4 linked regions of the Mus musculus genome follow. The protein of the gene in region 1 binds, or shares a complex with, the protein of each later gene. Links are inferred from orthologs where the notes say so. Each region holds a gene or a part of one and is shown on either strand. Other genes may lie near its edges.

The links. Proteins that work in one complex are often made in the same cells at the same time.
Region 2: Pkn1 (region 1) and Akap13 share a complex: the UniProt entries of both Homo sapiens proteins name them as parts of the signaling complex. The link is inferred for Mus musculus from reciprocal best matches to the Homo sapiens genes PKN1 and AKAP13.
Region 3: Pkn1 (region 1) and Nod2 share a complex: the UniProt entries of both Homo sapiens proteins name them as parts of the signaling complex. The link is inferred for Mus musculus from reciprocal best matches to the Homo sapiens genes PKN1 and NOD2.
Region 4: Pkn1 (region 1) and Map3k20 share a complex: the UniProt entries of both Homo sapiens proteins name them as parts of the signaling complex. The link is inferred for Mus musculus from reciprocal best matches to the Homo sapiens genes PKN1 and MAP3K20.

The regions. Positions count from the first base shown.
Region 1 is NC_000074.6:83,696,380-83,700,639, forward strand, and holds the start of Pkn1 (serine/threonine-protein kinase N1), read right to left. Parts: upstream 2,801-4,260; 5' UTR 2,609-2,800; coding exon 2,588-2,608; intron 1-2,587. UniProt on the Homo sapiens protein: PKC-related serine/threonine-protein kinase involved in various processes such as regulation of the intermediate filaments of the actin cytoskeleton, cell migration, tumor cell invasion and transcription regulation.
Region 2 is NC_000073.6:75,609,034-75,612,533, forward strand, and holds part of Akap13 (A-kinase anchor protein 13), read left to right. Parts: coding exon 1-2,527; intron 2,528-2,576; exon of another isoform or gene 2,577-3,407; intron 3,408-3,500. UniProt on the Homo sapiens protein: Scaffold protein that plays an important role in assembling signaling complexes downstream of several types of G protein-coupled receptors.
Region 3 is NC_000074.6:88,657,347-88,660,846, forward strand, and holds part of Nod2 (nucleotide-binding oligomerization domain-containing protein 2), read left to right. Parts: intron 1-3,192; coding exon 3,193-3,298; intron 3,299-3,500. UniProt on the Homo sapiens protein: Pattern recognition receptor (PRR) that detects bacterial peptidoglycan fragments and other danger signals and plays an important role in gastrointestinal immunity.
Region 4 is NC_000068.7:72,369,137-72,372,636, forward strand, and holds part of Map3k20 (mitogen-activated protein kinase kinase kinase 20), read left to right. Parts: intron 1-2,590; coding exon 2,591-2,619; intron 2,620-2,734; coding exon 2,735-2,872; intron 2,873-3,500. UniProt on the Homo sapiens protein: Stress-activated component of a protein kinase signal transduction cascade that promotes programmed cell death in response to various stress, such as ribosomal stress, osmotic shock and ionizing radiation.

The sequences.
Region 1 (4,260 bases):
AGAGAGAAAGAGAGAGAGGGAGAGAGGGAGAGAGAGAGAGAGAGAGAGAGAGAGAGAGAGGAAGGAAGGAAGGACAGACGGATGGACAAACTAGCTGAGGCCCCCTGCTCCAGGTCCCACAGGCAGCAAGAGACAGAGCCAAGATTCACATTAGCTGGGAAGAATCCCACGTCCAGCACACCTAGAAGTAGTGAGCCATCACCATCACAATGAGCAATGTTCTCCTAGGCTCTTAAGCCCTTCGGATGAGGCTGCAGGCCAAGAGCACAGATCCTGTGACCCTGTCATCTCCTCACTGTGTATCTGAGCAGTAGTCACCATAGGGGGAAACCGATGCTCAAAGAGGCCATAGCTGTGCTCTCAGTGAAGGTAGGGTCGTCTTCTCATCGCCTTGAGAAACGCATGTCAATGTCTGGGGTCATTCTTGTTGTCATTACAACCAAAGTATACAGGGGACACCTATCCATGTCAACATTCCGAGGTACACAGGACAGCCCCACTACACAATGACCCCCACACAAGGCCATTGCTGGGGCCTTGGGAAGGGGTGTGGGTTCCCAGCCTAGACTGTCAAGCTCTATGTTCAAAGTAAAGGTGTCAGAGAAGCACAGAACTGGCTGAGGCTCCACCTCTCTCTGCATAGCCATCATCTCACCCTCACTCCCCCCACCTCCCCACCCCCACCCAGGGTTTTTCTGAGTTGCCCTGGCTGTCCTAGAACTCTATAGACCAGTCTGACCTCAAACTCAGAGATCCCCCTGCCTCTGCCTCCCAAGTCCTGGAATCAAAGGTGTGCACTACCACCACCAGACCCTCATACCATTCCTAACCCCATTGCCTCCTCCAAAACAGAAACAAGACTCTGTAAGGTAAAAGTGTTTGACCCAAGAACTCATTAGGGAAGGCAGCATTGGTATTTAAACCTGGCCTCACTGAACAATACTCTGTCATGACCAGGCCCCACCCACTGTCGCCCACCAGCGCCCCCAACCCAGCAGGCAAAGCAGGTACACAGCCAGGAGCAGGGCCAGCTCAAGCAAAGAGGAGAGGTGAAGGTCCTTGGCCCCACCTCCAGCAGAGAAGGCCTGGGAATGTGAAAAGCATGCAGGCAGGGAGGCAGGGCCTCCTGGGTCCTCCTCCTCGGTGACTCACTTCTGCCCAGGGACAAGGAGTCACTTGAGGGCAGCAGGGCAAACGCCTGGCCTGGTCTTGAGGAATTAGAAGGTCAGCTTCTCCACCTGCCATTACAGATCTGCAGACAGCAGACCAAGAACTGTCACCTTGGGGAAACCCTCTTGGCAAAGTGGCTAGGAACCCAAAACCCCACTTCCTGAGATTTCAATGCCTGGGGCGTTTCCAGAATCTAGACAGGACATCCGTTTGCCAGACACAGAACAGACAGGCACGGAGACGGTGGAACCAGGCAGCAAGTCCAAGCGGGAATGAACATAAGGGAGAAGACGGGACGGGGACCAAGATGTAGGTCCAGCCTCATTCTGGGAATCACAGCCTCCATGTGCGTCCTACTCGGGACACACCAAGCACATGCATGTACTGGGACAGCCCTGCACAGCCCTCAGTGGGCTTGAAGGGGAGCCGGCACCGGTGCATCAGCCTGGAGGTCTGACCTTGTGAGATCGGCAGCACCAGATACGCCCAGCTCCTCGGCAAGGCCGGCAGGCCATCAGCAGGACTGGGGAAGACGGGTACAGAAGGGTACAGGGGAGACATGGGGGCAGGTGTAGAAGGAGATGAGAACCAGTTACACAGGACAATGGACTGCATGGTGACGAATTAATGGAGCCACAAAGATACAAAGATCTCAGATTTTGGGCCACTGAATTAGAGTGGGGAGTCAGTCACCCCGACCCTGACCCTGCTTCAGTAACGCCCAACAGGTCACACAGGGAAGGCCATGTGGCTGGCAGATGCCAGTCACAGGTGTCTGTTGCGAGGGAGTAGAGACCCAGCCCTGTCACCTTCCAGACATAAAATCCTTCCTGTCTGTGTGACAGGACACGCCCCACCTGGGTTACAGCTCCATCTGTCAGCCTGAAGGGTGGTTATGGGGAACAAGGCGGAAGGAGGAACCCGGCCTCAGGCCTAGTGAAGTGACTTAGACACTTCCTCCAACAGGTGCCCATCTGGGTGGCGTCAAGACCATCGTAAAGACGTCTGCAGGCGGGGGTGGCCCGGGCTTTGTTGTGCGGGGGAGGGGATCGGGCCGGGCACTCCTCCGGTCCGGGGCAGGGTGCCAGGCACCTGCTCCAGGTGAAGCGGCACCTGACAGAAACCGAACGCTGCAGGACCCAGAGTAGGATGTGGGGACGACAGGCACCGGGATCCGCAGCTAGCCTCGGACACCGAAGTGGGGACCCCGCTACACACGCTGACTCTCGGGGAGGGCCAAAGGAGGGGATGCTGGGGTAGAATCCCGAACAGCACCCCTTCCTCCGACCCGGTCGGCGCCTCCACCTGCTACAAGGGCCCGCGCGGGCTCCCGATGGGGACCTCGTCCGGGACTCTACCCGTGCCTGGGGTCCTCCGCGCCTTCTGGCCGCCCCGCGGGTGCGGACAAGTCGCCTACCTGTACGGCGTCGCCGGCCATGTCCTCCGGCCGCCCGCCAGGGGTCCCAGCGCCAAGGAAGGGCTTGCGAGCGCGCGGGCGGGTGCGGCGGGAGGCGCGGCGCCCAGACCCTCCCAGGCGCGCGGCGCGCTCCGGCCTGCTGCGCTCGGCCCGGCCTGGCCAGGCCTCCGCCGAGCTGCGCCCTCCGGCCCCAGCGGCTGCAGGGTGGGTCACGTGAGCGCCGAGGTCCGCGCCTGGGGAGGAGGCGGGGCGGGGGCGGGGCTCCCGGCGGCCCCCGGGGCTTGCAGCGGGGAAATAGGGTCCCTGTTGGCTGTGGGGTGCGGCAAGCGCTCCTTGTAGCGTAGGGGACTCTGAGCGGGCCTAAGCGACCGCGAGCCTCAGAGGCCTTGTCCCCCGCCTCCAACCCCTTTGAATGCAATGGTCACCGTCCACCACCACCCTCGACACACACGGCCCAGCTGCACAGAGGCATCCTCCCTCCCGTTTCCCGGGAGGCAAACACAGGGAGAGCCTGACTTCAAATCCCAGTGTCCTGGGCCTTGGGGGAACACAATACCCCTCAGGACTAGGATGTCTGTAAAACTTGAGGAAGAGTAGGGCAAGTGTATAGATCCCAAGTGCACAATAAATGCCAGCAGTTGTCACTTTTAGCTCATTTTTTTAAAGACTTTATTTTGATTCATGTGTGTTAGGAATAAGTTTCGGGGTGGCAAAGAAAGAGACCATCCTTCAAAATGAAATGTCCGAACAAGGCAAACTTTACTCTTCATCAAGACAGTGCGCTGCGGAAAAGCAAAGAGAAGACAGGAAGTGCATATGGTTTCTATTCTAACTCAGGTGACCTCGCAGTCTTATTCAATTGGCTAGTCTGAGAAAATTGGCGCAGAGGAAATTGAAGGGGAAAGGGGTCACTGCTCCAAGCGATCAATTTCCTAGAATGGAGCGGGGGGGGGGGGGGCGCTTTGTATAAACAAAAGTTTTACTGGGTGAGGAGGATTAAAACATCTCCTTAAAAGTCCTATAAGGTAGGAGAGATAATGATTTTAATTACTGTCCAAAAGACTAATCTTATACTATTTGCTAGAAAAGACTCATATTTAATTTCTTGCATGTGTATATATGTGTTTCTTTGTGTGAGTTATGCACATGTGTGTGGGTGCCTCTGGAGGTCAGAAGAAGACATGGGATGCCCTAAAAGGAAGTTATAAACTGTTTGTGGACTGCACCACCTGGGTGCTGGGTCCAGACTTGAGTTTTCTACAAGAGTAGTATTGCTTCTATCTCTTCAACTCCTATTTTAATCTTTATACCATTTATTGAGTGTGTTCACGTGCATGTACCACACATGCCAAGCCAAATGTGTGGTGGCCAGTGAGTGACTTACAGGATGGCTTTTCTTCTGCACCCTATCATTTGGGGGGGGCACCCAAACTCATCTTCCTAAGCCCTGAACAGGCCCAATACTCCATCACTGAACTCTCAAGACTACAGTAGAGGCTTCCTTCCTTGTCCCCCAGCCGCCTCCTCCTTACAGTCTCTTCCCCAAACCGCATACCAACGGAGCCTAAAGTCTAGACATTTCCAGGAGGAGCCCACCAGGTCCTGTGTCACCTGCCGCCCTTGGTCACTTGCCACTCGCTGCTTCAGCAAGTTGACACCCTCATTATAGCTCA
Region 2 (3,500 bases), on another chromosome or scaffold:
TCAACAGATGTTGGTGCCCCAGAAAAGGCAGGGGAACTGGAACATAGCCTGCTTACCCCAGATGCTACCACCCAGAACAATAAGCCTCAAGTAGGGGAAGGCACAAAGGAAAGACTTGAGAATTCAGACAGTAGCACAACTGAAACAACTGCTGTTCAAGTTTTAAGTGAACCCATGGAGAAAGCCGATATTACAAACCATGTCTTTGCCACCAGTGCCGTAGGTGTTAACACTCCTGCTGAGGCTTCACCTGCATTGAGTTCTGAAGAAATCCCCACTGAAAAACCAGGAATGGAAACTCAAGAGAGAGGCTGTGAGGGGGGAACCACAAGTGACCAGAGCTCCCCGGTGCTTCCTGCTGCTGCTATAGAAAACAAGGTTTTAGGTGGACAAGAACCTGATACTTCCATAGCAGGCTTTTGTAAGACAGCATCACCTTTGGATTTAACCATGCCAGGCCCAAGTTCAGATGGGATGCCAGAACAGAACTCAGAGTCTCATGCACGGCCTGCTCAAAGCCTAAGTGGCCAGGCGCTGCTCTGTTCTACAGCTGAGGCTGGCACGCCTTCTGCTGAGGCTACACATCAGCCGAGCACAGTGACTTCTAGTGGCAGGTTGGAAGAATGTGGCAGTGGTAAAGCTAGCCTGCCTGAAAGCACAATGGTGCAGCCAAGCACGCAAGAACTTTGCACCACCCTCTGCCCAGAAGACCCACAAGCTGACACAGTCACTTCTGACACTGTGAAAAATACCCAGAAATCTGTGGGGGTTTGTCATCTCTGTGTTTCAGATGCAAAGAATCAAGGAAATGGTTTGAAGCAAGATACACCTTTAACGAACGTGCTTGAGGATGTTCCACGTCTGCCTTCAGTTGTCTCCCAGACTGAGAAAGAACTAGCGCCAGACCAGGTATCACCTCCAGCCAGCAGTTTCTCTCTGGCAAGCAGTCCAGAGAGTGAATCAGTAACCAAAGATGACGCACTTTCTCTTGTCCCCTCCCAGAAAGAAAAGGGAACAGCAACTCCTCAGCTCCATAGAACTACAGCTTGTCGAGATGGCCCAGATGGAAGAGATTTGAGTGATACCGATAAGGTAGGAGACGGGGCCACTGACCCACCTCCATCCTCTGCTGTAGAGCTTCGGACCAGCATGGGAAATACCAGCCCTGTAGGCATTGGTGGAGAACAGGAGGGTTCCAGCCCAACAGCAACACTTGAAGTGCTGAGTGACTCTTTACTGCATAACGTGGATAAAGCTGCTTTGGTTTCTGACTTTACTCTGCCTGAAGAAGGTGTCAGTGTAGTGGTTCCAGAAAGTTCCACAGCTCTGGGGCAAGATGGCAAAGATAGAGCAATGAGCTGTTCTTCAGTTAAAGAAGACGTGCATTCTTCAGAAATGTCAAGGGAAGACCAGAGAACACCTCCCTCTGGGCAGGAGATACCAGGACTCTGTGAAAAACCTATGTCAGCCCTCTGTGCCGAGGAGAAAGCACAGCAGCACACACCCTCTGCCTGTCTGAAAACAGAAACTAAAGACATCAAGGAAGTGGCCCCACAGGTCTCCCTGCTGACTGAAGGTGGGGCTGCAAAGAGCCTGGTGCCACCAAGAACGAGTCTGTCTGCCGATTCAAAGCAGAAAGCCTCGAGTACAGAGCAGAGCGGCTCATCTCTGTTGCCAAGTGGGCTGCCAGGTGCGTCTGAGGCACTCCATTGTAATCAGCCTTCTGCTCTCGATGTTGTCGTAGAGAATACTCAGTTCCAAGGGGAAACCAATGCTTGTGAGGTAAGCAGAAGTGCGATGGAGGATGTTACAGTGGCTGATGCTTCACCAGCTACTGCTGAGCCCAGAAAAAAGGATGCATCACACTGTATCAAAGACATCCCAATTTCAGAGTTGTTAAACCAAGAGAAGCAAATGACTCCAAGTTTGCCAGAAGCTTTCCTGGACAAAGGTGTCACTGACTTACAGGAAGTCATAACCCCAGAGATAGAACCACTTGATTGCAAGAGAGAGACGCTGGAGGGAACAGACCTTAACTGTGCCACGAGTAACTCCAAAGAGACCCCAATCGAAAAACCAATGCAGCCTCTTGCCAGGGACCTCCCCACAGAGACAGGGCTCTCAGTGATCAATAACAATGTCCCCCAAGCTGACATGAAGCAAGTGGCACAGGCTTCCATCCCGGCAGAGGAAAGTAATGCCACTACTGTCTCAACCCAAGCTGCAGATGTGCCTACCAGAGCAGACTCCATAGAGGAGACCGCCACTAGGATAGTGGAGGCCGTCATCAGGCAAGTCAGGGCCTCCAACGCACTGATGGCTAAAGTAGAAACCCAGAATCCGTCACTCTCCAGTCCAGAGACTAAGCAGCTAGAGAATGCTTACACAGAGAGTGCATGCGCTTTCCTGCCTGGGGAGACCCCGCAGATAGAGAAGACGCACGAAGACACCACCGGGCAGTGTGGTGCTGAGACAGAAGAACCAGAGAAAATTATTCTACCTGAGTCAGCACCAGGTAAGCAAGGCAGTTTATAAGACTTAACAGCTTAAGAATCATGTCTCTGTTGTGTACTAGAATGTCGATATTGTTGGTTTGTAGTCCTACTTGCTCAGTCATGTAAGTTGCCAAGTTAATAGTCACTGCTGTCAGAAAACACGTGTCATCTTAGGTTGGACAGATTTTACTTCCTGTATTACAGGTGCAAAGCTTTCCTGTTGTTGTTGTTTTTTCAAGCCTACCTTCTCTGTCACACTGGAGCCATTGCAGTTTCTAAATCCGGAAGACAGTACATGGATCTCAGACGGCGTTAGATAATCAAACAGCTTAGTTCTTTTCTTTAGAACCCCAGAATGTAGCGCTGAAATGAATGTGCTTTGTTTACAGATTGGAAACTTTTCCAAGTCATAGCTGTCTGTATTGTAAGAGAATTTAAAGTTGGGCCGGCTTCATGAGCAGCTGTTTTTGAGAAGTACTGAATTAAATGAACATCTAAAACGGTGATATTAGGTCATTGCTTAAGTTGGGGGTGTGTACTCTTCCTCCTTTTCCTGCCTGAGAAACAGACCTCCAGGTTTGCTGCTTTGCTTTTGGGCAGAGTCTGGGAATTCAGGGTCCTGCACAGCACAGGGGATAGGATACAGGATTTCCGCCCAAGCCCAGTCCGCTGCGCTGCTGTCACCAGGCAGACCTGGTGTCTGCTTATCTCGGTGAAGCAGCTGCACTAAGCAGATTGCTCAACACAAGCTGCCTGTTCCATCGATGGGTAACTATGTCCTAAAGAGAGTGTCGAGAAGCCACCATTGCTCAGTGGAATGAACTCACTGGATAGAACTTCTTATGGCCTTTGAGACTGAAGCCGAAACTGTATTCGGAATGGCTGTCACTCTTGTCTTCTGAAGTCCGGAAGGTCAGTTGATGCAGACGTTTATGCCGCCACCACATGCTACCCTGTACTGTGGCTCTGATGCTTTTGTGATAGGTGTTTTGTTTTTTTTTTTTT
Region 3 (3,500 bases), about 5.0 Mb from region 1:
ATTTATATGATTAGTTGCATTGTTTGATTCATGCTATATATATCCATTTCTGTGCTAGTGATGGAACCCAGAGCATTCACATGCTAAACAATCATTCTACCACTGTGTGACATCACTCACTACTTGTATAAACCTTTGAACCTTCAAGTTACCATTCCTTCTCTATTAATTTGTCTCTGATCTCCCATTTTGACACTTTCTTTGGGCATAGGTAAGCCTTGGTTATCTGTCTTATTATTAAAAAGACAGATTTTGAAATATCCTGAGCAACCAGGTGAAACCTGTCTACAGTGACTTTCACCGTAGATGGTTAGACAATAGTAGTGTATATAGTAGTTTATTTCTGTAGAATTTTTCTCATGGGTTTACCAGCTTCTTCAGATAAAAAGCCTCCTGCCTGTGGTAAAGGTATGATTGTAGAGGTCTGGGAACCTGGAGGATGAGTGAGCTGGGTAGTGGAAAGGTAACCTTGGCACATATTTTACACACAGTCATTTAAACTCTGGCTTTGGGGGAATGGCAACCACTTTCTAGTTGTGCCTGGATTCTCCCAGTCCTGGGATCCTTTTTCATCCTTTCAGAATGCAGATCTTTGGGCAGTATGACAGGCAGGGACAGTGAGTGGCTGGGTCATGCTTTGGAGTGGGGAAGACATACTTGATACTGCCATGCCAGAGCTCTTGGCAGACTGTAGGGTACACATGACATGCTTTTCAACAGCAACATTTTGGTCTTAGGACTTAGCCTTAAGAAGTCTTCTACCATCCATCCATGTGTCCATCCATCTGTCTATCCATCTGTTCATCTGTCCATCCACCCACCTACCCACCCACCCACCCACCCATTCATCCATCTACCCATCTATCCCACATCTATCCATCCATCCATCCATCCATCCATCTACCCATCCATTCATCTATCCACCCATCCATTCATCCATCCACCCATCTATCTACCATCCATCCATCCACCCATCAGTCCATCTGTTTGTCCGTCTGTCCACCCACCCACCCATTCATTGACTCATGTATCCAACCATCCACCCACCCACCTGTCCATCCATCCATCCATCCATCTATCCATCTGTCCATTCCATCTATCCATCCATCCATCTATCCATCCATCCACCTACTTACCCACCCAGCCACTCATGTATCCAACCATCCACCTATCTGTCCATCATCCATCCATCTGCCCATCCATCCATCCATCCATCCATCCATCTGTCTATCTGTCTGTTTATCTAGTAGGAGTCCTTTTATACTGCCTCTGTCATTGGGACTAAATCAGTGAATACAACAGAAAACTTTGTTGTGATGTTCATACCTCAGCTGGAGATAGATCATAGCAGAAGCAAGCATTGCAGAGTTTGGAAGGTGCCCTGTGCAATGGAAGATTAATAAAGGAGTGGATCTGTCTGTTGAGAGTCCCCAGGGTATAAAGTAGTGACTTCACCTTCCTGAAAGGTTGTTAGAGTATTCTCAGTGAGAAGATAGGAGCTGGGAAAAGACTAAAGTGGGTGAGAGAATTAGCCAGCCAGCGGTGGGGTTTAGCACTCTAGCCAGAGATGCTGTTAGAGCAAAGTCCTGAAGTAGAAGCACACTGGGCATGCTCATTAAATGAGAGGGAGGCCAATGCTAAGTGGAGCATTCAAGGGGAGGAGGGGGCCAAGGCAGTCAAGCAGTCAAGAAGAGATGCAGTCTGGGTTTACATGGTCACAAACAAGGATGCTTGTCTACTTTGGCTCTGGAGTGTTTACCATTGGACTCAGGCCATGGCTGGGATGTTTATGCTATGCTTGTGTGACTAACCTGTAAAATACTCACCTCTGACTAGGAAGCAGGCACTCTCCTCTGACTGTGGTGTGGGGGATGGAATAGGCTGTAGGCAAGGATTGTGCAGAGACTGGCAGCTGTGCAGTTTCTGGGTAAGCCATGATGTGCCTTGGAGCAAGATGGCAGTAGGCCTCATGTGCATACAGGGCTCCATAGCCATCAGCTAAATGTACCAACTCTAGAAGACATAACAGAAAAGAGATTAAAAAGCAGCACGTTCCACTACTTCTTATGTTGACCGTGTGGTGAAATGGCAGGATTTTGCGTGTTGTGGTAAAGTATGATCTATGACCAAGTACACCCAATACTTGTCACTGAGGCATGTGGCTGTTAGGCTTTGGTGCACATATACCTTGCTTGTGTGCTCTGGACTCTATTTCTGTCAGACAGCTTGATTCTGGTACTTTGAAGGTGGAGACTACAGGATGTGCTGACAATGTGCAGAGAAGGGACTGTAAGGTGACCTCAGATGTTGGGCTGAACAACTAGAAGGATTGAGGAGACCTGAGCAGAGACTAGGAAAGGCGTGTGTGCGTGTGTGACCAGCATGTGTGTGTGTGTGTTTGTGTGTGCATGCACGCGCACATACTTATGACACATTTAAAAGGAAAAAAATGGGCAGTTAGGGGTGTGGGTCCCAGACTCAGAGCATAGTTTAGGCTGGAGAAGAAAGTGGGTTCTGTGGAGAGAGAGAGTTTAAGCATCCAGGCCATGGGACTTGGTACAACACCAGCCTTCCAGGGGTCTATAGCTTCCAAAATCATTGCTTGCTTTTGTCCGTTGGTAGGTTTATGTATTTGTTTGGTCTTTTTTTTTTTTTTTTTTTTTAGCTTTTAATTTTTTAGCTATTCATTCTCTCAGTGGGTTTTGGGAGGAAGCCAGGTTGGCTGTGTGTTTGTTTCACAAACCACGACTACATCATCTTTGTTTGCTAAATGCAGACGGTAGAGCAGTTGTTTTTCTGGGCTCTCATTATGCTAGAAGAGGACTGTGTATTGGTTGTATTGTTGGTAGTTTTTACTTTATCCTGAATGCTTGATGCCAGGAGTGTTTCAGAAAATTTTTTGGGTTTTAGAATATTTACATAAACAATGAATACCTTGGCAACCCGACCCACGTCTAACGACAGAAGTCATTTATATTTCATGCACACATGGCTGGAAGGTAATTCTACACGATGTTTCAATTTTCCTGTTGTGACATTGTGTCAGCACTTAGAATGGTTGGGATTTAAGAGCATTTGGACTTGGGACCTTCAGATTAGGGGTGTCCAACTTTTAATAGAAACCTTCCCACACTGTTCCTCTTCCTTCGGCCTTCTTGAAAATAGCAATGGCCTTTTCTTTGTTGTCTGTAGGCAAGAAGGCTGCTTGATCTCGCTGCGGTGAAGGCCAATGGACTGGCTGCCTTCCTTCTACAGCACGTCAGGGAACTACCAGCTCCACTGCCTCTGCCTTACGAGGGTACGTATTTGTCCTTCTGGTTAACACAGACCCCTGGTTAAAGAGCAAAGCACAAGGCAGTTAGCGTCCATGGATGGATGCCTGACGTCCTCCAGACTCAGTTCCTGCATCTGAAGCCTAGCAGCAACCTGACAGCAGTGAAGATGGAAAAGATGAGGGCATGGCGGCTCTCCCCCTTCCTTGCTCCCCAAACCACATGATA
Region 4 (3,500 bases), on another chromosome or scaffold:
GGCACTAGGATTAGTTAGCTTTGGTGGACCTAGCTAAGTAAACACCGGAGTTTGCCGCTCAAGGCAGGAAACAGTCCTTGCTATCAGTTATTTCTACATTTTTAGCGGCTCTCGGCAGGGAGAAGGAAAGCGTTTATTTTTAGAACTCTTAAGACCACAGAAGCTAGAACTTGAATTTGCCAACAGTGTGATCCTTGGAATGGGTGGTGACTGCGGGTGGGCAGGAGGAGCCTGGGCAGGCCCCAGGTGCTCTGCTCACACCCAGGACCTGCAGGCCTTGGTCTGACAGGTGGAGAGCAGGAAAGACAGGAAGTTGTAGGCAGCTGCTCTCCTGAGAGTCCACCCTGGCCTCTCCTTAACCCAGTCAGCTGGCTCAGCAAACTGTCCCACCCTCTCCTACTCTTTTTGGCTCTTCTGAGACAGAATCTTGTGATATAGAGCAGGCTAACAGGAAGTCATTAGAAAATAATCTAATCCCCTCCGGGATGAAGTGACAGAGTTATGTGACTACAATTTCAGTTTGTGCTATTAGTTTTGATATAAACAAGTTATCTGATGTTTTAAAACCTATGTAGTTAGCATGAAAATGATATTTAACAATGGAGAATTTCTCATTTTAAAAAAACTACAACTTATGTAGTTAAAAGGAAAGAATATACATTAATATCAAAAGAATACCAGCCTAACTTTGGCAATTTGTTTTTACTGGGAAGTGGAGTGAGATTTTGTCTTCTGTAATATTTTTGAAAACTTTAGTTCTGGGCTGGCAAGATGGCTCAGTGGGTAAAGGCACTTGCCACTAAGCCTGACAACTTGAGCTTAATCCCCAAAAACCACATGACAGAAAGAGAGAACCAACTCCCACAAGTTGTTCATGATCTCCATGTGTATACCATGGCCTGTATGCCTCAACACTGTGTACACACACAAAATGAATAAATAAAATGTAATAACAATAAACCCGTATTGTGTGTGTGTCTGTGTGTGTGTGTGTGTGTGTGTGTGTGTGTGTGTGTGGTGTGTTTGTGGGCATACATGTGCTATGATATGCTCTTGGAAGTCAGAGAGCCACACTGTGGGGTTGGTTGTCTCTTCCCACCTTTATATGGGTCTCTGGATCTGTCTCCCGTCACCAGGCTCTCATGACAAGTGCTTCTAAACCCACCGAACCATCTCTCCAGCCCCCATATTAAGTTTTTTATTGTTTTTTTTTTTAATAAGCACTTGCTAATATTATGTCAGGAAAAAGGAACAGGGAGATAATCTAAGACCAACTGAATACAACAGTAGTATTTATTTGCATTTTTGTTTGCCACAAGCATGTAGCTCATTTCTTGCCAGCCCACATTTACTTTGAGACTATTTATATGTATTAGATCACACAGGATATTTTCTCCAGTTACCGAACCCACTAGTAACATCTGCTGTACTGATCATCCACCATGCTCAAGGCACAGAGTGGCTTACTACACAAGTCCCGGACACCCTCCCTAGGCTTCTGTCCTTGGCCTTCCCTCTGACCATCCCACTCCATGTCTCTCTCAGACCACAGCCACCCACATGCACAGCCCGCTCCTTGCCTCTTGTTCTGTGCTGTTATGCAGGCCGTCAGCCCCCTGAAGTCTCCCTCCTGCCCATCTTCCATGTCACATTCTTTGTGGCCTTCCATCCCCCACAAGACCTCTTCTTGGATTGGCTTCTGTCTTCTAGAATGCCTGCACCTTTACCCTGCACCTGAATGTTTCGTGGATGAAACTCCTCGCCCTCCCAGGCTCCCCTCTTCCTGTCATCAAGTCTTAGTATAAGCATCCATCCCCGCCAGAGACCTCATCCAACCTCCCCAGGCTTAGGTGGTCCTCTTGGTTGGTTCTTTATTAACTCTTTCTCTCATCATACAACTTACCCCCACTTCATTGTGGATGTTTAATGGTCTCTCTGATGCACTGAAGACTTCGGGAGAGGAGAGGAGAGGAGAAGAGAGGAGAGGAGAGAAGAGGAGAGGAGAGGCCGCAGTGACCTTTGACCCCAGTGGGTACTCAACACTGTTGTCAAGCACATGGATGCATAAGTGTTGTTTTCACCTTTCAGAAAATGAATCTTCAACTGTGAAGAACACACACACATACACACACACTCATACAGAGACAGACAGACAGACAGACAGACTTAGAGAAAGACACACACACACAGAGACAGAGACAAAGACAGGATTTTATATCATAAAACATAAAATGAAGATATCTAGAGAATTGGTGAGTTCCTTCCTATTAGGCAGATAGCATTTTTTTTAAAAGCTTAACTCCATGAGGTACTGTACCTGTTTTATACAAATGCGCGCATTTGGAACAGGGTCTTCTTATGTATCCCTGGCAGGTTTAGTTCCTGCTGTGCAGCCTAGGCTCACCTCAAACTCGTGGTAGTCCTCCTGCCTCAGCCTGGGATTCTGGGTACACACCACCACGCCCAGCTTATATCGTGAAGTTAGAAATGTAGTGGTTTCAACGTTAGAAACATGACGCCATACTTTTCTTTGGTGCTAAGGTGATTCAAACAGAAATGATTATCATACTTTCTCTCCATTTTCTTCCAGTTGTTATCGCTGCTGACGGAGTGCTGAAGGTAGGACTGTTTCTTATCATTTGAAGAGAGTTGTCCATTTCTGATGATGGCTTTGTGACTAACAGTCTCCCGTCAGCACTGGGTAGAAAGTTGACATTGGTTCCTCTGTCCTCAGATCTGTGACTTCGGTGCCTCGCGGTTCCATAACCACACAACACACATGTCCTTGGTTGGAACTTTCCCATGGATGGCTCCAGAAGTTATCCAGAGTCTCCCTGTGTCTGAAACCTGTGACACGTATTCCTATGGTGTGGTGAGTACGTTTCTCATTTCCTGCTTACCAAAGGACATAGGAAGGGACAACAGCTTAGAGAAGAAAATGGCCACAGTTTAGCTTCCTTGTGCCTGAGACAGTTGGGTCATCCACAGTGGAAGCATTAGGGAGGGGCTTTCCAGCTGTCACAATGTATGCTTTGATCACTTATGACCCCGAGCTAATCTGTCCTACAACAAGAAGAACCATCACTGCTTCCGAGAAACAAATAATGCAGAGCCTGACCAGCGCGAGGCCTGCCGGGCACGCTGTCGAGCTGGGTGGAAGCACCACTGTAGAGCCGCTGTGCAGTTCACTGATATTGCGAAAATCTCTTGGAATATGCTTGCTTATAATAGATGCCCACATGGCGTGTGACAGACAGGAGCTGCCAAGCGAGCTAAACTTGTACATTTCCGAAACTACAAAAGAACATGTTGTTAGACCAGATAGCCTTGCCCAGGTCTGCTGTAAATGCTTCGAAAACAAGTGGTGAAGTTAAGGGGTTAAAGCAGGTGGATGCCAGCAGGCAGAAGCAAGCCTAGAGTCGAGGGAGGAGCCAGCTAAGGATCATTTGGGAGGAAGTAGCCTCTGGTAGGGCATTTCCTGCTGCTGGAAGGAATCCTTT